Regions from separate parts of the Mus musculus genome. Here regions 2, 3, 4 and 5 are each reported to be linked to region 1. The links are microRNA targets in miRTarBase. Many come from high-throughput screens and were not tested one by one. Region 1 holds a microRNA gene; each other region holds the end of a gene's coding sequence.

Region 1 (5,104 bases):
GGCTTTCCAGTCCAATGGTATTTGTGTAGAGGGGAGTGATCTCCACAGGGTGTCCTGCAGAAGCCAAGGCAATCCCTTCATATTTTCTTCAGTGACAGGAATGCTTATTCCCTTGCAAGCGACATGAATAAATTTTATTTTTACATTTATTTGTTGATTGCAGTGATGGGGGTTGAACCTAGGACTTCCCTATTACTAGGCAAGCACTGACCACTGAGCCACACCTCAGCTGTAGCAAACTTGATGTTAAAACTCTGAGCCGAGCGTGGTGGCGCACGCCTTTAGTCCCAGCACTTGGGAGGCAGAGGCAGGCAGATTTCTGAGTTCGAGGCCAGCCTGGTCTACAGAGTGAGTTCCAGGACAGCCAGGGCTACACAGAGAAATCCTGTCTCGAAAAACAAAAACAAACAAAACTCTGACATCTATATTACTTTTTTTTTTTTTTTACTATACTTGATATAGAAAGATTGGTACATTCCACTCTCATTTTGAAAGCTCTCTAGCATATTTAAAGAGTATATAACATACATATGTACTGGTCCTCAAGAAATCCTTTCCATCTATTTATTTGTTTGTATGTTCACTCGTTTGTTTGTTTGTTTATAGACAGGTTTTCATGTATCCCAGGCTGGTCGGGAACTCTCTAGGTAGCTGACAATGTCCTCGAACTTCTGCTTCTCTTGCTTCTACCTCCTAGGAGTCAGGGCTCCAAACCTGCCTTACCATGCCTACATCTTTTTTTTAGTGTAAAACTAGAAATTAAGTCCAGGACCTTCCTGCCTGGGAGGCAAACACTTTGACTGAGTGAGCTAAATACACTGTTTTTAATTATGTGTCTATGTGTTTATGTATAGATGTATGCACAAAAGGTTTTGTGCACACACCTATACATGAACACATAGGTTTGTGTATAAGTGTGTATAGGTGTATAACACCTATATACACACAAGGTTTCCATGGACATGGCCATCAAGAGCCTCCCAACAAAGGTGCAGGGAACTGACTCCGATGATTTGCAAGAACATTTCAATCACAACCACTGAGCTACCTCTCCAGCCCAAAACCTTTTTTTTTTTTTTTTTTAATTAAAACATTTACTATTGTCTTTTATATGTGTGTGTGCCCTCCCCTGGCACTGAAGTTATAGAAGTTGTAAACCACCATGTGGGTGCTGGGAATCTATCTCTAGAACTGCACCCCATGACAACTAGCTGCTGAGCCTTTCTCTAGCCACCTCTCTCATCTTGTTTTTAGTAAAATCCTAAAGAGATGTGTAATCTCAGATACAATGTTCACCATTCCCAGAGTGGTTTTGCGTTTTAACTTTTTTAAATCGTGGATTTTTTCCCCCTTTTCTTCTTACTCTATAGCTCAGGCCCAGGATGGTGTGGGAATTTACTGTGTAACCCAGACGCTGACCCTGCCTCCTGCCTGAGCCTGCTAAGTGCTGGGGTTACAGGCGTGTATCACCCACCACCTAGTTCTCTGAGGAGGTGGAATCCAAGCTCTGGGCTCTGGGAAGGGCTCTACACACTGTGCTGCACACCACTGGACTGGAAAGCCAGTGTGTACTCTGGACCCCTGAACTGTCTTCCTTCATCTACAAGCTACTGCTTACTTCTATTGTTTGATATAAACCCCAGACATCACATCACTTCTGGATCAGCAGTTATGATTAATGTTCTAGCTTGTCTGATCTGTAGCTCTGAACTTACTCACAAAAGGGCTGGGTCTGCAGGGCAGTGGTGGCGCATGCCTTTAATCTCAGCACTTGGGAGGCAGAGGCAGGTCTGGTCACCCCAGAATTATACACCCCATTGTCTTTTGCTGTTTTCTGCTTCTAAGGCTAAATGTTTCTCCAGAGAGAACAATTACTTTTCATCTCTAGTTGGCACTTTAATGCTTTTAGTTCTAATAACCCATTATTTAGGTTAATAAAGAGATAAAAAATTGCTCCAGCAGGCTTACTCTTTTTTTTTTTTTTTTTTTTGGTTTTCCGAGACAGGGTTTCTCTGTGTAGCCCTGGCTGTCCTGGAACTCACTCTGCAGACCAGGCTGGCCTCGAACTCAGAAATCTGCCTGCCTCTGCCTCCCGAGTGCTGGGATTAAAGGCATGTGCCAACACCGCCCGGCAGGCTTACTCTTCAATGTGCGTTTCTATTCTTTCTGCTGGCACCCGACACACTATGTGCTCAGTTTGTTCTGTGTTGTTTGATTGATGAAATACACTCGAATCTTCACACATTTTTTTTTCCTCCTGTGGTTGGAATTGGATAGTTATTGTAACCAAAGGCTCCACAAAAAGCAATTTAAGGGAAGAAAATTTTATTTTGTCTCATGATTCAAGTGACCATGGGCAAAAAGACAAAAACCTTTATATTTTTTCCTTCCTTCCTTCCTTCCTTCCTTCCTTTTTCTGTAAAACACACACACAGAGATATGGGAGGTGTCCTTCAGGCATGTGGAGGTCAGGGGACAGCTTTTAGGAGTCTGTTTTCTCTCTGCACCTTTTTTGGGGGATGGAGTCTCTTCTGTTGCTTCTCACTGAGTAGTGCTCTGGCCTAGGTGGTCCGCAAGCTCTGCTGATTCTCCGTCTCCACTCTCCATCTCTTTCTGAGAGCACTGGGTTACCGTGGCACACCCTTGTACTCGAGTGGGTGCTGGGGATCAAACTGAGCTCAGTCAGGCTTGTGCACCCAATCAAGGCCAGTGCTTTAGACTGTCCTGCCGTCTGTCCATCTCAAGAGGGCATCTTCATTAAATGGCAAGAAATTAACATTGTGCTCATGAATAGAAACAAGTTTTTAGCTTGACATTTTAAATTTCTACAAATAATGCAGGCTTGACTGTGTCGTGTGTATAAGCCTTGTGTGTGGTGTTCAATACTGTGTAGCTACTACAGCTTCCCCTCAGAATGTAGACTGTTCTCTCTCTCTTTTCTTTTTTCTTCTTCTTTTTTACTTTTTCTTTTTTTTTTTTTTTTTACTTTTTACCTTCTTGAGACAGGGTTTCTCTGTGTGTTCCTGGCTGCCCTAGAACTCATTCTGTTGAGCAGGCTGGCCTCGAACTCACAGAGATCTGCCTGCCTCTACCTCCCAAGTGCTGGGATTAAAGGCGAGCGCCACCACAGCCCGGCTGCCTGGCAGATTTATTTATTTATTTATTTATTTATAACCTTGATCTCATGTTTAAGGTGATGTGTCCCAAACTCTCCACTGTGGGCATTATGTTTTCCTTTATGGTTGATAAATCTATCAAATGTATCAAAATAGGTGAATGTCCTGTCTTTGAAGCCTTCAATCTCAGCCTCCTCACTCCATCATTCCTTCTCCATTGCTTTGCTGTGTCCTATGGTAGGGAGAGCTGCCCCTCCAGTTGTCTGTGCTGCTCTGTCTACTTACAGGACATTTGGAGTCCTGGTTTATTTAGTGCATTAATAGCCTCTTATTATTATTATCATCATCACCACCACTATTGTAAAAATTCTTGGATTTACCCAGAGGAAGTTCCTCAAACTGTTTTTTTATTAATTTATTCTTTGACAATTTGATATATACACAGTGCATTCTGATTATTCTCCCTGTCTTCTCATCTTCCCCTCCAGTCCCTCTGACATGTTCATGTCTCTCTCTCTCTCTTTTTTAATATTACATGTTTTGCCTGAATGTACTCATGTGCCCCATGTGTGCCTGCTACCTGCAGAGGCCAGAAAAGGGCATTGGATGCTTGGAATTGCAGTTTGGATGGTTGTGAGCCCCATGTGGGTTCTCTACAAGAATAACAGGTGCTCTTAACCTCTGCACAACCCTCGAGCCCCTTCATGCCTTCTTGTTTTGCACCCCTTGAGTCTAACCACAGTGGTTCACGTGCCACTGGGTATAGAAGCATTCGCTGAAGTTGGTAGACTCACCCAGTGAACACACAATTGAAGGCAGTGACTGTCCCTGCCCCAGCAGCAGCCAGCACCAATAGTCCCCAAACCGGTTTCCTTGTCCTCTTGTACCATTCTTGGAAGATTTTCTTACCGTCTGGGACAGTGGCGTGTCTCAGGTGCATGCTACACTTCCCCTGCTCCAGTCCCCAAGCCCTGGACTGATCATTTTTCCAGCAAGTGCTGGCTATTCTTGTAGAAAAGAGAATCACTTATAGACATCAACATGAGCTCCAGTCTAGTGCACTGCTACTGAACCATGATTGCTTACTTCTGGGTTTCTCAGCAGAACTAAACACACACACACACACACACACACACACACACACACACACACACACCTTCATATGTTGGAAATCATGAATTCAAGCAGGGTACAATGGTTAACAGCTATATATTTATACTTCTGATACTTAGGAGATAGGCATGGGAATTTGGAATTTGAGGCCACTCTGGGCTACCTAGGTAAGAGTATATGTGAAAACAAGAGTATGTGTGTGATGGGGTGTAGTGGAGGAAAGGAGGGGCCCACATTATTTTGTGCTTCCAATTTCAGCAAACACAGCACTGCCTTCCATTCCCCGCCTCTCATATCTGCGCCCTCTTTTCTAACCACAAGCAACCTGCTTTCCATTACCTCAGGGTAATGAGTACTTAGTCCCATTACCTCAGGGTAATGAGTACTTAGTCCTAGATAGCAAGCTAGAACAGCCCTACCTGCCACTGGTAACTAACTCCTGTTTGCTTCCTCCCTTTGGTCTGGGGGTTTAAAGACAAAACATCCCTACTTCAAGTAATTCTGCCTTCCACACTCTTCAACTGACTGGCGCTCTCTTGAAATACATCTAGGTGATTTTCTGTTTGTTTGTTTGTTTTAAAGATTTATTTATTTTATGTATGTGAGTACAGGGTTGCTGTCTTCAGACACACCAGAAGAGGGCATCAGATTCCATGACAGATGGTTGTGAGCCACCATGTGGGTGCTGGGAATTGAACGAGGGACCTCTGGAAGAGCAGCCAGTGCTCTTAACCACTGAGCCATCTCTCCAGCCCCCATCTGAGTGTTTTTCATTGTGTCCCACACTGTGCCTCTCATTCTTCTGACTCTACAATTTTTTTTCTTGCACTTGTACATTTAGCAGAAATCCGTACTAAGTGAAAAGTTCACCCAGA
Region 2 (5,104 bases), not on the chromosome of region 1:
GGATGGCATTGTCTCCAGTGAGTATCACCGTCACGTCCCCAGGCATGCCCACCATGGCCACGGAGAGGAAGATGATGACGATGATGGAGGAGAGGAGGAGGAGAGGGTGGATGTGATGGAGGACTCTGATGATAATGAACACCAGGTCCATGGTCACCAGAGCCACTCAAAGGAGAGAGATGAACTCCATCATGCCCACAGCCACAGGCACCAAGGCCACAGTGATGATGACGATGACGATGGTGTCTCTACTGAGCATGGACACCAAGCTCACAGATATCAGGATCATGAGGAGGAAGACGATGGGGACTCAGATGAAGACAGTCACACCCACAGAGTTCAAGGCCGAGAAGATGAAAATGATGATGAAGACGGTGACTCTGGTGAATACAGACACCATACCCAGGACCACCAAGGCCACAACGAAGAGCAAGATGACGATGATGATGATGATGATGATGATGAAGATAAAGAAGACTCCACTGAGCACCGGCACCAGACCCAAGGCCACAGGAAGGAAGAAGATGAGGATGAGTCAGATGAAGATGATCATCATGTCTCCAGGCATGGACGCCAAGGCTATGAAGAAGAAGAAGATGATGATGATGATGATGGAGATGATGACTCTACTGAGCATGTGCATCAAGCCCACAGACACAGAGACCATGAGCACAAAGATGATGAGGATGACTCAGAAGAAGACTACCATCATGTCCCCAGCCATGGCCGCCAAAGCCACCAAAATGAGGAAGAGGAAGATGAGGCTGTATCCACTGAACACTGGCACCAGTCTCCTAGACATGCTCACCATGATCTTGGACGTGAGAGTGAAGAAGAGGTAGCAGTCAAGTACAGCCACCATGTTGCAAGCCACCGTCCCCAAGGCCACAATGCTGACAGGGAGGAGGACTCTCTAGAAGAACACATGAATGAAGTCCCAGGCCATCACCACCACAGAGCCTCCAGGGGTGATGATGAGGACATTTCTACTGAGTTTGGCCACAAGGCCCCCAGCCACAGGCTACAAGATCAAGATGAAAGGGCGAGGCAGGGTCACAGAGAGCCTGTTCAGGGAGAGATTGCTCATCAGCCCCTGCAACCCACAGGACCCAGTTCAAGAGAATCAAGGAAGGAAGGTGACCACAGCTCTCAAGAGGGAGATGAAGACCCAGAGCAGAGGCAAGCCCATAGTGAGGAGGAGAAGGAGGAGGAGGAGGAGGAGGAGGAGGAGGAGGAGGAGGAGAAAGAGGGGGGCCATAGCCTCCCCATGAGCCAGGAAGATGATGAAGAGGAAGAAAAAGATGAGAAAGAAAGCAAGGTAGACAGGGCTGCAGTTTCAGCTCCACTGAGCCATCATAGGAAGCAGGGGGAGGAAGAGGAGGAGGAAGAGGAGGAGGAAGAGGAGGAGATCCTGGAGGAAAACCTACTACCTTTCACCATTATCCCAAACCCACTCGCTGGGAGAGAGGTGGCCAGAGAAGGTTCCAGTGAAGAGGAGAGCCGTGAGGTCACAGGTAAGTGACCTGGCTCCACGGGTGAGGCTGGGGGAGGGAGGCAGAGCTGGCCAGCTCGAGTCACTGTTGCCCTCCTGTCCCCACAGGTCAGCAGGATGCCCAGGAGTACGAAAATTACCAGCCAGGGTCTTTGTGTGGCTACTGTTCTTTCTGCAACGTAGGTCCCTAGCCCAGAGCTGCTCAGCACACCCTGGGGTGCCATGGGGGCCTGAGAGCCTGGGAGTGGGAGGAGCAAAGCTGGGGGTGGGGCCACTGGGGAAATAAGGTTAAGGTCTCCAGGTGAGGGTCACAGGGTGGCAGGCAGGTGTCTGTGTGAGCACTCACAGGTCCCAAACTCCAGTGAACGGGTCACATGGGCTTGGGGTTGTCTTGGGATGGGAAACCAGGGTGGGTGGTGTCCCCAGAGAAGAGGGGGACTCTGAGTTCAGACATGGAGGTCAACAGCTGAAGTGATTTTCTCCCGAGGGGTTTGGGGCTAGGGGTCCCTCTAACCAGGCGCTTCCTATTCCCAGCGATGTACCGAATGTGAAAGCTGTCACTGTGATGAGGAGAACATGGGGGAACACTGTGACCAGTGTCAGGTGAGACCTTCCCAGAGCCCCTAAGCTCAGGTCCCAAGCTGGCAGGGACCACCGGAGTGCCCAAGGCATAATCCTGTCCTTACATCACTTCATGCCTCCTTCCCGTGTGACCCTCCACCTGGCCTTAGACCCTGGGTGGTCCTTCCTCGTCTTTGTCCCTGACTCAGTCCCTTGACCAGGCTCTCTCCCTGTCCTCAGCACTGTCAATTCTGCTACCTCTGTCCGCTGGTGTGTGACACGCTCTGCACTCCAGGTGAGCAGCAAACAGGGAGAGGCATCCACCCACAGAGGGGGCGGGGCTAGCATAGTGAGGCACCCACCCACAGAGGGGGCGGGCCCAGCAAAATGAGGCACCCACCCACAAAGGGGACTGCGCCCAACAAAGTGAATCCTAGTGGGGTTGGAGCCAAGCCGAGATGTGAACCGAGACTGTGGTCTGAGGTTAAATGGGTGGGATAGGAGGTGTGGCCATGACAAAGGTCATGTGGGCAGAATCTGATCTCTCAGGCTAAGATTGAGGTGATGTTGATGGGCAGCCCTAGAAGTGAGTGGGTGGGACCAAAGTAAATAGACTCTGAGGGGCGGAGCTGCTGGAGGGTCCAAAGCAAGAAGGGCTGGGATTGAATTTGAGGCTGGAATTAGAAGGGGGCTGGGCACCACATTTCCGCACTGCCCTGACTGTTTGCCCATCCTGGAGGTCCCTCAAACCTTTTCTCTCTCTGCTCCCTCACAGGAAGCTACGTTGACTATTTCTCCTCCTCTCTGTATCAGTAAGTGTGTGGGGGCTGGGCCGGGAGATGATGCCGTTCAAGGGACCCGTTTAGAGAAGGGTTGACCCACTGTGAGTTAAAGAGACAGCCTGGACTCCATGGTCAGGCTCAGTGGCTGCACGTTGACTAACTAACCTTCCTGCTCTCCTGTCCAGAGCCCTGGCTGACATGTTGGAGACTCCAGAGCCCTGACCTGGCCGCCTGGCAAGAGCTGCATCTATTTCTTTGAATAAATGTGCTCCTAGAAACAGCAGTGTCCCGAGTGGGGTGTGTCCTGGGGAGACAGAGGGCAGGGTGAGGCAACGGCCTCTCTTAGAGAGCCAAAACAGGACAGCTTCGACCCCTAGATCTGGAGGTGGTTGGTTTGGGTTCTTAACATCTTAAGAACAAAAGCTAGGACTGGTGGCACACACCTTTAATCTCAGTGCAGAGTCAGAGGCAGGCGGATCTCTGTAAATTCGAGGCTAGCCTAGTCTACATTGAGTTCCAGGCCAGCCAGGACTACAAAGTGAGACCCTGTCTCAAAAAAAGGCTGGTCACCACCAGAGCTTTTGAAACAGTAGGTCTTTACCCGTGATCACTGAGTAACGCCTGGAGCCAAGAGGCCGAGTCGGGGTGGGGGCTCCCCCATTGTCCGTCCTCTCCCCAGCCACATCGCCAGCGGCATAGTTGACAGAGGGATTTTCCCATGCAAACCCCGGAGCCAGAGGGGAAATGGGAACGCAGTGCTGCGTCCCTGACCCTTGGGCACAGACACCGCCATAGCACGGGGGCGGGGAGGCCCCGGGGAACACGAGACAGGGGGGAGGGTCAGGGAACCCCGCTTGCAGATGACCCGGAGGACTGGCGACAAGACGCAGCGGGGCAGGACTGAGTGGCACGGGGCTGGGGAATGGGGCGAGGCTTGTAGCAGCGAGTCTCCCCTCCCCTCCTAGCGGACGGAGAAGGAAGACTTGGGCCCCGCGACTGGGCAATAGAAAGGGGAGGGGTGGCATCTCCCCGCATGCGGCCCGAGAGGGAAGCCCCGCCCCCTTTCCGCAGGTGCAGGGCGCCTGACTCCCATTCGAAACGGATCATCAATAAATTACAAAGTTGAGAAAAGGGAGACGGAAGTTTGGGGTGGGATTTCTTCCTGTCCTCTTCTTCGGCTGCCCCCTTTCAGTCCATTTCTTATGGTTTGGTCCAGGCCCAGTCCATTTGGGAGGCGGGAACACGCACACCCGGCTGGTATGTATAGGTGGTGCAGTCCGTAGGGCGAGCTCCCTCACGGCGGTCTCCTGCTAGACAATGCTCTGGAAAGGAGGGAAAACGGCCCAGCCTTCGGAGGGGTCTTCATAGGAGTGAGAATGAGGTCACTTTCATTGAGGTCAGACAGTTCACAGAGTGGGAACCATCTGGCACGCCATCCCGCGTTCCCGTTGTACCACCCTGAACCCCCCAAAATCACCTAGCAGAGTACTCACCTGGAGGTGCACACTAGCAGGAGTAAGTCCGGACCGAAACACCATCTGCTCGCGAACTCCCAGAAGTCTGGCCTGGAGAGAGTAACAGCGCTTTAACCTGGAACTACCCTAGTCTCCCCCAAGAAATCCCCCAATACTGGAGATTGGCCACGGAATTGCTAGTCAAAAGCCCTCCACTGAGCCACACACCCACAGTTTCTCATTGTGGGATTCTAGGCGGTTCCTTCACCAGTGAGCTACATGTCCAGCCTTCTTTTTACTTTTGGAAGCAATCTCACTAAGCAGCCCTGACTGTCTTGAACTCTCCTGTAGCCCAGGCAGGTAGGCTAGACCAGATAGATGGAAGGTGAACAAGATCTGGACTGTTACTTTTAAGAGTCCCTTACCTTCAGGCTGCAGTTTGCGGAGAGGAAGCCCGGGAGAGCCTAGGGCTCCTGCGGCAGCTGAGCGAAAGTTGGGGGGTAACATCTCGGCTGAATCGGGGGTTACACCCCGGAGGTCCTTCTCGCGGAACATCTTCCTCCAGGATGGGGAGCGGCTGAAGGACTTGGCACTGTCCTAGATGTACAAGAGGAGCCAAGGTGAGGGAGGCGGGCACAAGTTCCCATTAATCGTGACCCTCGCTAAATTCAGCATCCAATCACAATTGGTTGGCAATGCCAAGCCCCACCCCTTCAGCGCTGATCTGTAAGTGCAACTTGGGAAACTAGACCTCATTGCCACGCCCACCTCATCCAGCCGTCTGTCTGTGCCTAAGGAGATGAGGTTACTGAATT
Region 3 (5,104 bases), not on the chromosome of region 1:
ATGAGAAAAGCAACACTAATATATGCAGATCTCATCCTCGAGGCTTAATTGTTCTGAGGATACAGGACATAGACTCACGTACACATTAGGTCTGATTAAAGATCAGTTCTATTCTGTTCACAGAAGCCTCTATGTGAACAATGGTGGACTGATATACACAATGAGAGCCAGCATGGGGCGCCTTGCGGTCTTTAGAGTGGCTACATAGAGCCATACTTCTGTTGCCTGAATCACACAGGAAATGTTGTGCACCACTCCCAGGTTGTGAAGGGAGAGGCTTGGAAATGTCAGCAGATACAAAACCCAAGCATCCACTCTCCTTGTTTTCTGTGTCTTCATTTCTGTTGGCCCAAGGAAGCCTTTACCCTCCTGGTCTCACCAAAGTCCCCGCCATCCAGAGCAACACCATATGAACACTGTCAACAGCAGCCTGGACAGTGGCACTGGGTGGCCCGGTATCATCTGATTTGGTTGTCAGTTCACACACATGCATTTCAGACCCAATGACTTCCACTTAATATCTTATACTGAGAACACCAGAAGATCCCATTGGGCATTCAGTCAGTGATCACTTTGGAAGGCATTCCAATCACTTGAGTGCCTAAGAAGTAGAGTTGAGGCGCAGAAGTGAATCTTTATGATATAAAAAATAAATTATGTGTATTCTGACTGCATGTATAAATGTGCACCATGAGTACGCCTGGTACCTGCAGAGGCCAAAAGCAAGCATCAGATCCCTGGAAATAAAGCTCTTCGCCATGTGGGTGCTGGGAATCCTCTGGAAGAGCAGCCAGAGCTATTAACTGCTGAACTCTCTCCAGCCCACTAAGGTTAACTCTGAAAGTGATCGTTGTGTTCCCACAGGACGGTTCCTTTTCAAAGAGTCAACATATTTCTGTTTTCATCTTTCCCCAAATCATCCAAAGTATAGCTGTCATTAATGGTTGACAATGCAGAAGAAAATTTGTAAAATCAGTGTGCACTTAGTAGGCTGTAATGTAAAACAGCACACTATGATTCCAATGTTCACCTGTCTTACCACATCACTGTGACATTGAGTAAGCTTTTTTGTGTTTGGACGGAACCCAGGACCTAGTATGCAGTAAGTAGGTGCTCTACCATGAAGCATCGTTTTTTCAACATTACACTTTGTATTGTGCACCTGTGTGCCCATAAATGTGAAAGTTAGAGGTCAACTTGGAAGAGTAAGTTCTGCCCTTCCACCATGTGGATCCCTGGGATTGAACTCAAAAGACATTAGGTTTGGCAGCAAGCACCTTTAACCACTGAGTCATCTAACTGGCCCGTTTCTTTCCTCTGCCACGGCAAGTTGCCTTTCTATAGCCCATGTCTAGATTCTCACCCAACATCTTAACCATTTGTGTTTTCCACGTCATGAAGTCTCTGAAGGTTTCATTGAAGTCTGTTGCTAATGTCACTTCTTTGGGAACATCCCTGTGTTCACGTGACTAAGTTTTCCTTTACCGAGTATGAGTGTATGTCCCGTGTCTAGAACATCTAGTAATGACACCCCAATGTCAGCTATTTCCATAGTAACACCACTGCTTGCTTGTCCTAGCATTTCATTTCTGTGCACACATTTGTATTTGCCAGTCACTTCTCATAATGACTTAAATTATATGTGGGTTTATGCCTGGGGACAAGAAGGCAAGAGAACTACACTGTGCTATCCATGAGTTTTTTAAAAATGAGTGACAGGCACAATGACAGCCATGCATGGACTCTGAAAAGTCCATGCACGCAGCCTTAAGAACAACCTCACTTTCAAAGTAAGACAACATTTTTACCTCAAGCAATACAGATACTACTTGTGCATACTGGTCAATTCATTTTCAGGGACGGAATAATAAGACGACATGATAGAAGTCCTACAAAAGAAACAATGGATTCTGCTCGTATGCCTTTGCTCCAGGAAAACGGGCGAAAGACACTTCTAAGTCTTGTATAAAAGGGTGTGGTATTCATAACTCAGCATGGCAAGCTGTTTTCCTAATCTCAATATGTTCCACACAGAACTCAAAGCTTCTACTTCTGCAGCTCCCACTGGGCTGATGAGGTTACACTACACCCCAGAGTGCTGTCAACTGTTAATATCAGGTCTTCTGAAAACACAACAGTGCCACCAGAACTTAGCCGAAATGAGATCAAAACTATTTGCTTCTAGAAATTCACTAGCATATAAAACCACAACTGTCTCATGTGTGCACCCGCATGCCATAAGAAAACATGAAAATCTTCTTAGTAATACATGTGGTTCTTATTTTCAACTTTCTTAAAAACAAAGCATGATTTCAGGAGCAAAGAGGAGAGCAGAGACAAGCTGGTTACTACCCCATTTAGCAGCAGGACCCAGAGGGGCCACACAGCACACCTGCAGTCTCTCATAAGCACCTCAGCATCTCCAACCCAACCAGCAAGGCTCAGCAGACATTACGGAAAGCTGCCCCTGTATCCAGACCCCATCTGCCCCCCAGGGGCTCACATGCTGAAGGTACACAATCCTTTAAGTGATGAGATGAGGGGGTCCTTTAAGAGATGAGTCCTAGGGGCAGGTATTAGGTCCCAGGAGCATTGACATTGGTGGAGTTGGTACCTGTGTCACAAATTTTGTTCCTACAAAAGCAAGTTAAACAAGGCTGGCCCCACAACCTCTGCTTGCTGTAAGACCTACCATCATCATGCCACCGCTGCTCTCGTCTGAAGGCACTACCATTCTGGACCTAAACTGACCAAAGCTGAGGTAAATAACCCTTCTTTATGAAGTACTTCAACTCAGGTATTTTGATAGAGCAACAAAGTAGTGTTTTAGGGTTTGCATTGCTGTGAACAGACATCATGACCAACCTCTTATAAGCACAACATTTATTTCATTGGGGCTGGATGACAGGTTCAGAGATTCAGTCCTTTATCATCAAGGTGGAGCATGAGAGTCCAGGCAAGCATTGCACCGCTGAGAGTTCTACATCTTCATCTGAAGGCTGCTAGAAGACTGGCTCCCATCTGGTTAGGAGGAGGGTCTCATTGCCCACCCCCAGTGACACACTTCCTCCAACAAGGCCACACCTAATAGTGCCACTCCCAGGGCCAAGAATATGCAAACCATCACAGGTATATTACTACAAAACCCCAGCAGAATAAATCCCAAATGAGGGACTGCTTAAGGATATAGAATATAGGGTTATACCTTAATTGTGAAGTGGGCAGTGTTTAACGTGAGAAAGGGAGACAGGGTAGAGAGAGCCATAAAAACTGAGTGTCTACAGCACAGAGGCAGGTCTGCCTAATACACAGCCATCTGCCCTTTTAGAAGCAGGAAGCTCTGGGCACCGGCAGTGAGAACGAGATACAAACGCCCATTACCTTGACTGATCACCATCAACACTGTACACATATACACTATAGCCATTAACACTAAAGTGCTGCATCTGAATGGGGATGCCAGCAAGCCTACAATCCCAGCACTAGGAGGCAGAGGGAGGGGGAGCAGTTTGAGGCCAGCTTGGGCTACAGTTTGAGAATGTCTCAAAACAAAATGTAATTTGGAGCCAAATGTCCAAGGAAGAAAACAGTTCAAACAGGATGAAGGGAACAGAAGAAAATATTCTCAAAACTTACCATTCCCATCCAGGAAACATCAGGACACTGTAACTGTGGGAAAGCACAAGTTCCTGAGATGATAAAATGGCAGAGAGGGGTTACTAGGCAGATAAAAGCCTGAATCTGTCACATAAAGTGGCACACAGCTTTAATCCCAACACTCCGGAGGCAGAGGCAGGGGCAGGCAATGTCTGTTGTGTTTGAGGACACCCGGTCTACAAAGTGAGTTCCAGGACAGCCAGGGCTAAACCAAGAAACCCTGTCTTGAAAAACAATATATTTTTTAAAACCTGAATCTTTCTAAATAGCCTAATCAAAGAATAAATACCAGCCCAGAAAGCAGAGCACCATACATAGGCTTCCACTGTCAGAAAAGCTTAGGAGGGAAGGACGGGAATGAGAAGCCCCACGGTCCTCATGGCCAAGGGAGGCAGCAGGACCCTGCCTGTAGCCCTCGCATCTTAAGCCACAATTCATACCAGTCAAATTAAAGTCGCTTTCAGAATAGGAGGTGGAAATTTTTCCTGTTTCCTTTCTTTAAAAGATCTTAAAAATGGAACACAACAAAAGGCATAAAATAAGAAAGGAAAATACCAGGCACAGGAAGTAAGGGACCAATCTAGATGGCCTAAAACAGAGACCATGTAACAGTTTATGGCAGACCCGGGCTCTCACAGGAACCTGCCACAGCCAGTCCTCCCGGGGGACTAATGTAAAAGGGCATCTGGGAGACGAAGAAACGGTAAGGTGGAGGCCCGCCCTGCAGCTACCAAAAGAGAGGCATGGCCAACAAACACTAAGATTCTTTTGGTTTGGATTTTGGGTTTGTTTTTTCCAAGAAAGGGCATCTCTCTGTGGCCCTGGCTGTCCCAAACTCCCTCTGTAGACCAAGCTGGCCTTGAACTCAACAGAGATCTCCTGCCTCTGCCTCCCAAGTGCTGGGATTACAGGTGTGCACCACAACAGCCCAACAGCAGCAATACTCTTTAATGTGCAAACTTCTCCATCTTTTAAAAAGTATCTGGTTTTAACCCAAGAGTATCTTTCTTCCATAAGTTTAATTTATTAAAATAATTTTCTACAAAAAGCAGGACAAACACTGAGTGTGCTGTACACCCCCCTTCTCCTGGGTTCTTTATAGAAGATGATGCTACTCAGCGGGCTTTACTCTTCAGTTTCTGTCTTGCTCGTTTTCCGGGTCTCTTCTGCACAAACAAAACAAAAACCATATGTTGTCACACACAGCACTTGGCCTTCTGTGCCAGGGTGAGGAGTCAAGGGGAGTAGAAAGGGGGTTGAGAAGATACTAATCAGGCCCCAACTTGGACCCCTCACTTACATTTGCCCCTTTCTTCCCAGGCCTCCTGGAGCCCTTGCCGTGAGCCACCTTGGCTCGGAAGCTGGAGACATCGTCGTAGCTCTCTTTCGTGTTCCATTTGGAGCCTTTCTTCTTTCCACCAAAACCAAACTTCTGATTTTTGTATCT
Region 4 (5,104 bases), not on the chromosome of region 1:
ACATGGGACAGCAGGGCCGACAGGTAGCCTTGCTACTGGCTTCTGGAGTGGTAGAGGAATGGGCCAGCCTTCCTGGACTCCATCACGTTCGACTCCTGCCTCTCTCTGCCTCCAGCACCACTCCTTCCCTGCCTGGCTCTGTGATTTTGGCCTTTAAGGCCCATTACCGTCACCGTCTACTGAGCAAACTGGCTGCCATGCAGAGTGGGAAAGAGGGCACCTCCCTGGCGGAGGCCAGGGCTAGCATCACAGTTTTGGATGCTCTGCACATGGTGGCCGCAGCTTGGGCCAAGGTACCTCGCCAGCTCATTTTGAGCAGCTTTGTTCAAGAAGGGCTCGCTCCGGGCAAAACACCACTGTCCCTGGACAAAGACACTGAGATGTCACCAGTCCCTAGTGGGCTGAGCCAAGAGGAGTTTTCTCACTTTGTGGACCTGGAGGATGAGGACCCAGGGCCTAGAGTGTGCAAAGAGGAGACGGGTACTGAAGACAGTGGGAGGGAAGAAGATGGCTTTGAGCCCCTGCCCACCAAAGCCGATGCCCTGCAGGCACTGTGCACCCTGAGGAGGTGGCTTGAATGCAACAGTGCCTCTCCAGAACTCTTTGAGAAATTCTATGACTGTGAGGTGGAGGTGGAGCAGCTCTGCTGTCTGTGAGGAGGCATAGCTGCCTATTAGTCTCCCTCTCCTGTTTCCCATGGAAACGCCTCTCCAGAGACAGACTGGCTCTTTCCTGTGGAAATAGTATGTGGAGGGTGTAGAAGGGAAGGAAGTTGGAACACAAAGTCTAAGGTCAGAGTAAAAGTTGTTCAGGCCTAGAGTTTCTACGGATGGGGCCTCAAGAGTGGAAAGCTGGGCTGTGTAGCTTCTAGGCCCTGGAGAAACTTCTAGAGCTTTGTGGAGAGTTAGTCTAAATAGGGTAGAACCTAGAAAGGTGGACCGACTTCCTTTTTTTGTTTTTTGTTTTTTTTTTTTCTTTGAGACAGGGTTTCTCTGTGTAGCCCTGGCTTTCCTGGAACTCACTTTGTAGACCAGGCTGGCCTTGAACTCAGAAACCCGCCTGCCTCTGCCTCCCAAGTGCTGGGATTAAAGGTGTGCACCACCATCGCACAGCATGGACAGACTTCCTAACAGTGGCCCCATTCCTTGAATTTTTGTGTCAAAACCAATTCTGCTTCAGGAAATAAAGTTTTTAGCCACAAAGTCAGGATGTGGAGGACCTTTCTTCCTTCCTTCCTTCCTTCCTTCCTTTCTTTCTTTCTGGAATGTAATCTTGTATAGCCTGGGTTGACCTTGAACTTGCCCTATGACTGAAGATGATTTTGCACGTCTGCTTGCCTTCCCCTCTAGGGCCAGGATTATGGGGGTTTATGTGATACTCTGTATTAAACTTTTTTTTTTAAGATTTATTTATTTATTATATGTAAGTACACTGTAGCTGTCTTCAGACACTCCAGAAGAGGGCGTCAGATCTTGTTACAGATGGTTGTGAGCCACCATGTGGTTGCTGGGATTTGAACTCCGGACCTTTGGAAGAGCAGCTGGGTGCTCTTACCCACTGAGCCATCTCACCAGCCCTCTGTATTAAACTTAACCCAGGGCTTTGAGCATACTGAGCTAGTGCTATGCCTACTGAGTTTCCCCCCCCCCCCCCCGCCTCCTCAAAGCATGGCTTACATGAGAGAAGGGTGAAGTCTTTCTATCAGGAAGAACCCTTCATACACGGACCGTGCTTACAAGAAGAAAACTTGAAGAAAGGTCTCAGGGCGACTCAGACCTTTGCAGTTCTTACCACTTCAGCATCAGACTGTGTGGTGTAGTGGCCAGCAGCAGGGCAGGGCAGGACAGGACAGGGCAATGAGCTCTGGAATAATCATTCATTCACTACACTTTTCATCCATTTATTCATTTTACCACAGTTCCTTTTATCATGATATCCTATGTGGCAAGATTGCAAAGGTGACATCCCTGCAAAGCAGGACCAGAAAGCAATGACAGGCAAGTGCAGAATGCTTTGGCCCTACAAAGCCCAGTGAAACCCAGTAGAGGTGAGCTGGTTTTGCTGTTGTTTGTATGGTGATAGCGTTCTGGTTTTGAGACAGGATCTCACTATGTAGAGCAGGCTGGCCTTAAATTCTTGGAGTTCCACCTGCTTCTACCTTCTGAGTGCTGGGATTAAAGGTGTGTGCCATCGGGGCTGGAGAGATGGCTCAGTGGTTAAGAGCACTGACTGCTCTTCCAGAGGTCCTCAGTTCAAATCCTAGCAACCACATGGTGGCTCACAACCATCCGTAATAATATCTGATGCCCTCTTCTGGTGTGTCTGAGGACAGCTACAGTGTACTTACATATAATAAATAAATCCTTAAAAAAAAAATTGTGTATGCCACCATGCCCAACCTTGGTTTTCTTTTTAATTTTTATTTATTATTTATGTGGGGTGGGGGAAGCACACACACGTGCACACTTGCTACCATGCACAAATGTAGGTCAGAAGACAGCTTTGTGGACTTGGCTCTCTCCTTTCTCCTCTATGTGGGTTCTGGGAATCAAACTCAGGTCTCCAGGTTTTTGTGGGAAGCGCTTTTACCTGCTGAGCTGTCTCACCAGCCTGTGATGAGTTTTGATATTGGAGCCCTGAATAGAGAGAAAAGTGGAAAGGATAGCAAACCAAAGGAAGTAAGCATGGGCCAACTGGGGGTGAGGGAGCACCCCTGGGTGTGGCATATGTGGAGGTGAGATGTTCTGAGATCCCCCCAGTAAATTGGACATAGTAACCCTGTGTTAGCAGTGGTTAGCTGTAGGTGTTTGCAGTATGGGTATATTACACACACTGTATGGAACACTTACCTGGGAGCCATTTGAGGTCTAGTATTTTGACCTATGACCAGGTCATTCATTACACGGGAAACTTGTTTATATTGGCAGATACCCTGTAGCTCTTGTCTGTTTCATGGCCAGTGTTATGGTGGCACTCGGAGCTGAACTGCTGAACTGTGTTCTCCCGGTGAGTGGAGAGAGAAGTCTCAGAGGACAGATGCAAGTGTGCCGTGTAGGAGAATAAGGTGCAGATCAGCTAGTCACTCATTCAGTTGGCAATGAAACCAACACCACTAAATTCTTTTGCTTTTGTCTTCTATCTTTTTTTTATTTTTTTATTTTTTATTTTTTTTTTTTTTAAGATTTGGAAGGTTTTAGAAATCTGCCTGCCTCTCCCTCCCAAGTGCTGGGCTTAATGGCATGCACCACCATGCCCGGCACAACAAAGGCTCCTAACAATGAACTGTCTCTGTAGCACAGCTCCCCATCTCTCTGTAGGAGTGCTGGTTCATAGATCCACACCAGCACATCAGGATTTCTCTGTGGTTTCCAGGGATGGAGTTAGGGGTGTGCAGCAGTGTTCTTAGCATTGGGTCCTCTCCACGGCTCATCTTTTGCCTTTTGTATTACAGCCGTTCTAATAGAGGTGACATAATTAATGTACCATCGCACTTTTCATCTCATTTCTCTTAATAATGCTCAAAGTCATTTAACATTCCTGCGTCTTTGTGTTTAACCCACCTTAGCCTTCAACTTTTGTCTGCCGACAGTGTCCAGAATGGTGGATTACAGATGTGTATCCAGAAGGGTGGATTACAGATGTGTATCCAGAAGGGTGGATTACAGATGTGTATCCAGAAGGGTGGATTACAGATGTGTATCCAGAAGGGTGGATTACAGATGTGTACAGGCTTGCCCAGCTCTTTTGTTGGTTGGTTGGTTTTAGTGCTTGTTTTGAGGCAGAGTCTCATCATGTACCGCTGCTGACCTGGGACTCACTGTGTAAACCAGGCTGGCCTTTGACTCACAGATCTGCCCTTGCCTCCAACTGGGATTAAAGGCACATAACACCTGGCCCAGCCCCTTGTCCAGCTCTTGCTGGCTATCTGTATCTTTTTCATGAAAGATGTCTACTCAGAGCTGGGTGTAACACTCTGTCTCAGCAAGAAAGGAGAGAGGGGGCTATATGTTTAGGTACTCTGCTCATTTCATCATGGGTATTGGGGAATTCTTCACCTTTCCAACTTAAACCTGTGGAACACTCAGTGGCTCATCTCTAGAAAAATGTGTAATTGTTTCTTCTGAATAGAAGGGGGCACATAAAGATGATGCAATATGCCAGGCACTCGGGAGGCAGAGGCAGGCGGATTTCTGAGTTCGAGGCCAGCCTGGTCTACAGAATGACAGAGTGACAGAGTGTCTCTGGACAGCCAGGGCTACACAGAGAAACCACGTCTCAAAAAAACAAAACAAAACAAAACAAAACAAAACAAAAAAAAAACAAGGAGGAGGAGGCTGGGAGGCTGGAGAGTTGGCTCAGTGGGTAAGAGCACTGACTTTTCTTCCAGAGGTCCTGAGTTCAAATCCCAGCAACCACATGGTGGGTCACAACCATCTGTAATGAGATCTGATGCCCTCTTCTGGTGTGTCTGAAGACAGCAACAGTGTACTCACATTCATAAAATAAGTAAATCTTAAAAAACAAAAAAGGGAGAAGAAGAAGAAGAAGAAGAAGAAGAAGAAGAAGAAGAAGAAGAAGAAGAAGAAGAAGAAGAAGAAGAAGAAGAAGAAGAAGAAGAAGTTGTTTCCCCAAGGCCTAAGAATTCAAGGTTTAGTATGCTAAACTCCAGGAGGCAGCCCTGACCCCCACAGCCTTGCCTCGTGTCCCCTATTTCTCAGACTTTAGGAAGTTACCTCACATCCTGCTCAGTTAGCAAGCCTAAAGCATGTTTGTAAAACTTTATTTTTCTGAGTCATGGTCTCTTGTAACCCATTCTGGCTTTGAACTTGATATCTAACAAACCTTGACCTGACCTTTTGCCCCCACCTACCTAGTGCTAGGATTATAGGTGTGTGTCACCATGCCCCGTGTACATGATAAGGGGACCAATCCAGAGCTTTCTGTGTGACAAGCACTCTACCCCTGAGCTGCGTCCCTGGACTCTCAGAACTGTTTCTTGGACAGCCCACTAAGCTTTGATGATAAGGAGCTAGGAGTAAAGTCTACTCCATGCATGGTTTAGGGTTTTTGTAGGCCAGGCTAGCCTGGAACTCACATAGATTCT
Region 5 (5,104 bases), not on the chromosome of region 1:
AGAATGTATTCTTGTCAATAAACAATGCACACCTATTTCATATTACACTTTTATCTCAGGCTATTTCTGCCCCCTCTGAGCCACTGCCATAGATTCTGATCATAAAATGTGATAACGTCAACTGTCTCGAGGACAGATGTGTCCAGAGTGCCCCAGCTGTGCCCATGTGGATACCTGAAGTCTTCCAAGTTCCTCTGCACTAGCTCTTTCAGCACACTGGCCCTGGACTCGTCACTCACTAGCTCTTTCAGCACACTCCTCTGGCCTATGATGGCTTCCTTTCTTTCTCTTCTGCCCACAGATTTGGTTTGACTGAATTCATTGTTCCTTAATATCAAGCCACAAAGCATAAAAACAACCTAAAAGGGAGTTGGGTGTCCTTTGTAAAACAGAGCCTGTTGGGGGCACATAGCCCAAGAGCTACTTCCACTCAATATGGAATAACTCAGAGCAAGTCAGCAACTTAGACAACCTGCACTCCTCAAGGAGTGGGGCCACCTACCCTGGGGCTCAAAGCTGTTGTTTTAGTTGTGGTTGTTTTGGTTTTTGAGACAAGATCTCTCTAAACAGCCCTAGCCTCCCTGGAACTCCATATGTATAGAGCAGGCTGGCCTTGAACTCACATAGATCCACTGCCTCTGCTTCCCAAGTGCTAAGATTAAAGATGTTATGCTACCATGCCCAGCCTCGGCCTTGTTTTGTTTTGAAAGAATCTTGTTTATGTCTAGGCTGGCCTCAACTCGTCCCTAGTATTCTGCCTCCCACGTACTAGGATTAGAGATGTGTGCTACCTCATCTAAGTAAATTTCCATCAGCCAAAGCCTCACTCATCCTGAACCCACCCACATCCCCTCCCTCCATTAGAAAACCCAGGACGAGCCCTTTGTAGAGTATCAAGTTCCTTAGGACAGGAAGCTACCTCTCTTCAAAGCAACGTGAGCCAAGAGACCAGTCAGAACCCACAGATATGAAACAGAAAAAATTTAATTCAGAATATTACATGAATATAAAAGACAATATATATGATTGTTTCTTTACAATTACATATATATATGCAAAATAATAAAAAATAACAAATAGGTACAACCTTCTCCTAAGAAACCTTTTGGGGGTCGAGTGAGCAAGCAAATGAGCGAGCGAGCACACAGAGCGTGCACAGGCACGCCTTGCTGAAAGGCCTTGGGTGAGAGCACTCCTTCTCTATAGCCTCTGGACCAAGCATGTCAGGGGCATGCTCAAAAGCTCTTCAGCATGGGCTGTGGCCTCAGGAACTCCAGTTTCCATGGTGACAAAGCACTCAGGTTATTATTTATCCTCCATCTCCTCACTGCCCTACCTCCACACAGCTTTCAGCACTGGCTGCCTAGTAAAGCCAGCTTTTTGACAGGGAGTCTGACATCAGGCTACCAGGACTAAGGTCACTCAAAACCTTCATCTTAGGAAGCCAGATTCTCTGCAAACTCTGGGACAGTCCTGCTGGTTTAGATCTGGACCCTCACTTCAGTCTGAAGACTTTAGAGTGTAGGAGAGCAGGGATGATGCTGTCTCCAGAGGAAAGGATGTCACAGAAAAGAGACCTCAGCACACAACCTGCCAGTCAGCATCCTGTGCTGCCTCATCCCCCAGGGTGTTTCCTCATCACTCCTGACTGACTCTGGGAGGACCTTCAGAGTATAGCACATGCTGTGTGGAGGGACCACTGTGGGTTCCCTCAGGCCCCATCAGCTGTGCTTCTAGAATGTTCCAGCACTTGGTTCTAACCAATACTGTCTCCCACCTGTGCCCTACACAGTGCATGTGACATGGGGAATGGGGGGACAGGGCGGGGGCGGGTTCAAACCTGATCACTGGTCTCAGTGAGAAAATCCACTTCTGTGGAACGTCAGAGAAAGGGCCCACAGCCTCTATTCATTTACCTAGTGCAGATACAGATCAGATAGGATCTGTCTCTTCATAGTTGGCAACAATAACCACCAGATGACACTTTGACACAACATCAAAGCCTATGACGATTAACCCAGAAAGAAAAGAAAGGTTCTGTCACAAAGACTACGCCAACATGGAAAATAAATATAATAAAAACCCTTAAGACACAGGTCAGCTAGGCAGTGACTACACTCACGCCTTTAATCCCAGCCCTGGGGAGGCAGAGGCAGGAAAACTCTGAGTTCGAGGCCAGCCTGGTCTACAGAGTGAGTTCCAGGACAGCCAGGACCACAGAGAAACCCTGTCTCAAACAAACATTAGTTAAAAACATTAGTTAAATACTGGCTCAAAACAGCAACTGTACGCCTTGTCAGAAGGACGGCAGCAACCTTCTGTGACGACGATGGAGCTTCTGTCTGCGTTTCCAAGAAGATACCACAGGTTACAAAGCCACATGTTACAAGACTCAAAAGGTTATGCTTTTCCTCAAGTCTATTCTGCACTGGATCACAGCTTCTACAAGAAAAAATGACCTAAAATACCCTTACAGCAAGTAATGACTATCCAATAAATAAATGAAATCCACATTCCCAAATGCACGTGGTAACTCACTGCCCAAGAGGCCAGCCACAGAGAGCAAGCGCATGGGGCACCTCTCTCTCACCCAGACCATCCCTGGGCATCGCTTCCCTCTACCCACACTAGGCTCCTCAGTCCCGCGCTCTCTCTTTCTTGCTCACAGAGTGTGTAACTCCTGGCTGCATCAAGGCACTGCTTGGCTTGCATCCCTGCATAGTGCTACATTCCAGCATGGTGGGGTACACTGAAAGCAGGCTCCATGCTGAGGAGAACATCTCTGATTTGCTAACACAAAGGAGGTTTCTGTTTGACCTCACTATATACCTGGCATAAGAAATATATTTCAAAAAGAAAAGAACCTTTTTCTTAGTAACAACATCACCAGAAAGAGTCAGAAACCTAGACAAATGAATTTGCTAATAAAGATCCTTAAGGATGACCTAAAACTGCTTTAGAGAATGGAACTTAAAATCCACTATAGATCACACACCTCCATGCTCCCAAACTATCCAGCTAGAAGGGAAAACATCACATTTCCTTCAGCACTGCTGTTACAGCAATGAAACAGTGTAGGATGGAAGAGAGGGCCGACAGATAGACAACATCAGCCTTCATCTCAACAATAACACAAGTTCAACTGTCTATCATCAGTGTGGAACCGTATTTTGCTGGGTATCTGGTTCCCCACAGTAGGGTGAGCATGGTTTCACAGTTAGTTCCACAGAGCCAGGCCCATACCTCAGCATCCGCAACTGCCACCTGCGGCTCAGGAGACAGTGGCTCTCCACGCTCCACCACTTCCTGTACCCATCCAGACAAGGAGATGGGCAGGAAGCAACTGTTCTAGACTACGGGGACACATAACAACTGCTCCCTCTGGGGACCCTGCAGAGACTGCCACTCGTGCCTTTCCTGATGCCAACCTGCTCTCAGGAGACAGGTGAGCAGCACATTTGATCCCTAGGAATGAGTGACAGCATCCTACCCAAGCCAACCAGCCCCTCGGCCTGCTTCTGTTTTCACCACATGCACACTGCAGCAAGCTCCTCTAAGTAGCAGATCATGACATTTCCAAAGTGACAGTAACCAGGCACAGAGTGTATCAGTGGCACCAGCCATGTTCTAGGTGAGAGGATGATAATGAAAGAAGCAAGGTAACAACCACACAGCCATCTCACATCACAAAGGTAACAACCACACAGCCATCTCACATCACCAAGGTAACAACCACACAGCCATCTCACATCACCAAGGTAACAAACACACAGCCATCTCACATCACCAAGGTAACAACCACACAGCCATCTCACATCACCAAGGTAACAACCACACAGCCATCTCACATCACCAAGGTAACAACCACACAGCCATCTCACATCATAAGGGGAAGACAGGGGTATGGGGTGCAGCTTAATAACTGAGATGTGTTAAATACACTGTACTGACCTCTTTCTCATTGCCAGGTCAAGTCCTCTATATTAGACACAAGAAATAATAGATTGTCTAGGAAAGCTGTAAGTTCTTTGAACACAAAGATAAAGAGATTACTCAAGCTTAAAATAAAAAGGGGTCAAAAGCATTTAACTTGTAATTCGCTTAATTATCAAAATAATGGCTTCTAAAACAAGCAGTTACTGACACAGAGGAAAGCCTCAAATACCAGTTGGAAATAATAATACTCCACTAAGACCTACAGTACTTTTAAAAATATTACTAACAATTAACACAAAATATCCTGTTTGAAGAAACCAACCGACCTAAGCACACTGAGTAGGTGTGGCTGGCCCTGCCTACCTGCTGCACTGTGTAAGCTGGGGCAGGCACTAGTGGCTTCTGACATTAAAAACAAACACGGAGCACAGCACTTCCACAGACGCACAGCTTCAGAGACATCCAGTGAGGGGGTTAGAGGTATCAGTCGGGTCAGGGTATGAGTTGGCTTTCACAAGTCAAAATGCAGCAAGCAGCTGCAGGTCCAAGCTTCACTGAGAAGAGAAATAACACTTGTCCCACTGAAGAGAAACTTCACTGTAGAGGACAGAAGTAATAAAGAGAGCCTTCAAAAGAATCCTAGGTTAAAAGAGAAACAAGACAATTAGACATGCTTTAAAACTTTCTTTTTTTTAATACCCACCAAAAGCCACAAAATCTACACTTAGTGTTCTCTCCAAATTTACGATGAAATAATTTGAGAGTGTGACTCTACCAAGTAAACATTGTCTGCGCCGCTTGTCTAACCCAGTTTGTTATGTCTTCTTACTGACTGTAACAGTCACCACTTAGTAGGGCGTGTGTGGTGATGGCTATTGCCCCAGGCCCTTGTGTCCATTTTCTCATTTGTCCTCACAGCTTCCCACCGCAGGGGTAGTACGCTGTCGTTTCACAGATGTGGAATCTGCAGCCCACAGAAACTCACCTGCCCCATCAGCTACTGCACACACACACACACACACACACACACACACACACACACTACAATAGAGAACTGACCCACGTCTAATGAGTACGGAGGTCCTGCTATTAGCAGCACTACCCTTTACTAAAACCAAAAACAGCAAGCTGCTGACACTACTGAGACAAGAGAAAGCAAAAGGGTTGT

Evidence for each region. Region 1 holds the annotated microRNA mmu-miR-1195 (UGAGUUCGAGGCCAGCCUGCUCA, at 3,049-3,071, opposite strand). A microRNA usually pairs through its seed, bases 2 to 8, with sites in the 3' UTR of a target mRNA and lowers its output. Matches are read on the target gene's strand: a 7mer-m8 pairs with bases 2 to 8, a 7mer-A1 pairs with bases 2 to 7 and ends in A, and an 8mer does both.
Region 2: miRTarBase lists Ppfia3 as a target of mmu-miR-1195. Seed matches in the 3' UTR shown: 7mer-A1 at 3,346-3,352.
Region 3: miRTarBase lists Ebna1bp2 as a target of mmu-miR-1195. Seed matches in the 3' UTR shown: 7mer-A1 at 3,842-3,848.
Region 4: the mRNA of Tigd3 is a reported target of mmu-miR-1195. Seed matches in the 3' UTR shown: 7mer-A1 at 1,015-1,021 and 7mer-A1 at 1,044-1,050.
Region 5: miRTarBase lists Arhgap19 as a target of mmu-miR-1195. Seed matches in the 3' UTR shown: 7mer-A1 at 2,194-2,200 and 8mer at 2,165-2,172.

The regions. Positions count from the first base shown.
Region 1 is chr17:70,857,510-70,862,613 of GRCm38, forward strand. Mir1195 (microRNA 1195) reads right to left here and starts at 3,091; the gene lies at 2,994-3,091.
Region 2 is chr7:45,335,861-45,340,964 of GRCm38, forward strand. It overlaps Ppfia3 (protein tyrosine phosphatase, receptor type, f polypeptide (PTPRF), interacting protein (liprin), alpha 3), which reads right to left. Exons shown (of 30, transcript NM_029741.2): 27 at 5,058-5,104; 28 at 4,715-4,886; 29 at 4,329-4,400; 30 at 3,266-4,157. The coding sequence ends at 4,342. Hrc (histidine rich calcium binding protein) reads left to right here. Exons shown (of 6, transcript NM_010473.2): 1 at 1-1,514; 2 at 1,601-1,671; 3 at 2,027-2,095; 4 at 2,294-2,348; 5 at 2,829-2,865; 6 at 3,021-3,113. The coding sequence ends at 3,057. Among named protein-coding and RNA genes, the nearest start is that of Hrc, 3.1 kb to the left of the region's middle.
Region 3 is chr4:118,625,539-118,630,642 of GRCm38, reverse strand. It overlaps Ebna1bp2 (EBNA1 binding protein 2), which reads right to left. Exons shown (of 9, transcript NM_026932.4): 8 at 4,958-5,104; 9 at 2,867-4,823. The coding sequence ends at 4,773. It overlaps D4Ertd617e (DNA segment, Chr 4, ERATO Doi 617, expressed), which reads right to left and starts at 4,239. Exons shown (of 3, transcript NR_029469.1): 1 at 3,637-4,239.
Region 4 is chr19:5,887,240-5,892,343 of GRCm38, reverse strand. Tigd3 (tigger transposable element derived 3) reads left to right here. Exons shown (of 2, transcript NM_001362045.1): 2 at 1-1,206. The coding sequence ends at 656. Among named protein-coding and RNA genes, the nearest start is that of Tigd3, 4.3 kb to the left of the region's middle.
Region 5 is chr19:41,765,622-41,770,725 of GRCm38, forward strand. It overlaps Arhgap19 (Rho GTPase activating protein 19), which reads right to left. Exons shown (of 12, transcript NM_027667.3): 12 at 967-4,575. The coding sequence ends at 4,565. Among named protein-coding and RNA genes, the nearest start is that of Gm19424, 21 kb to the left of the region's middle.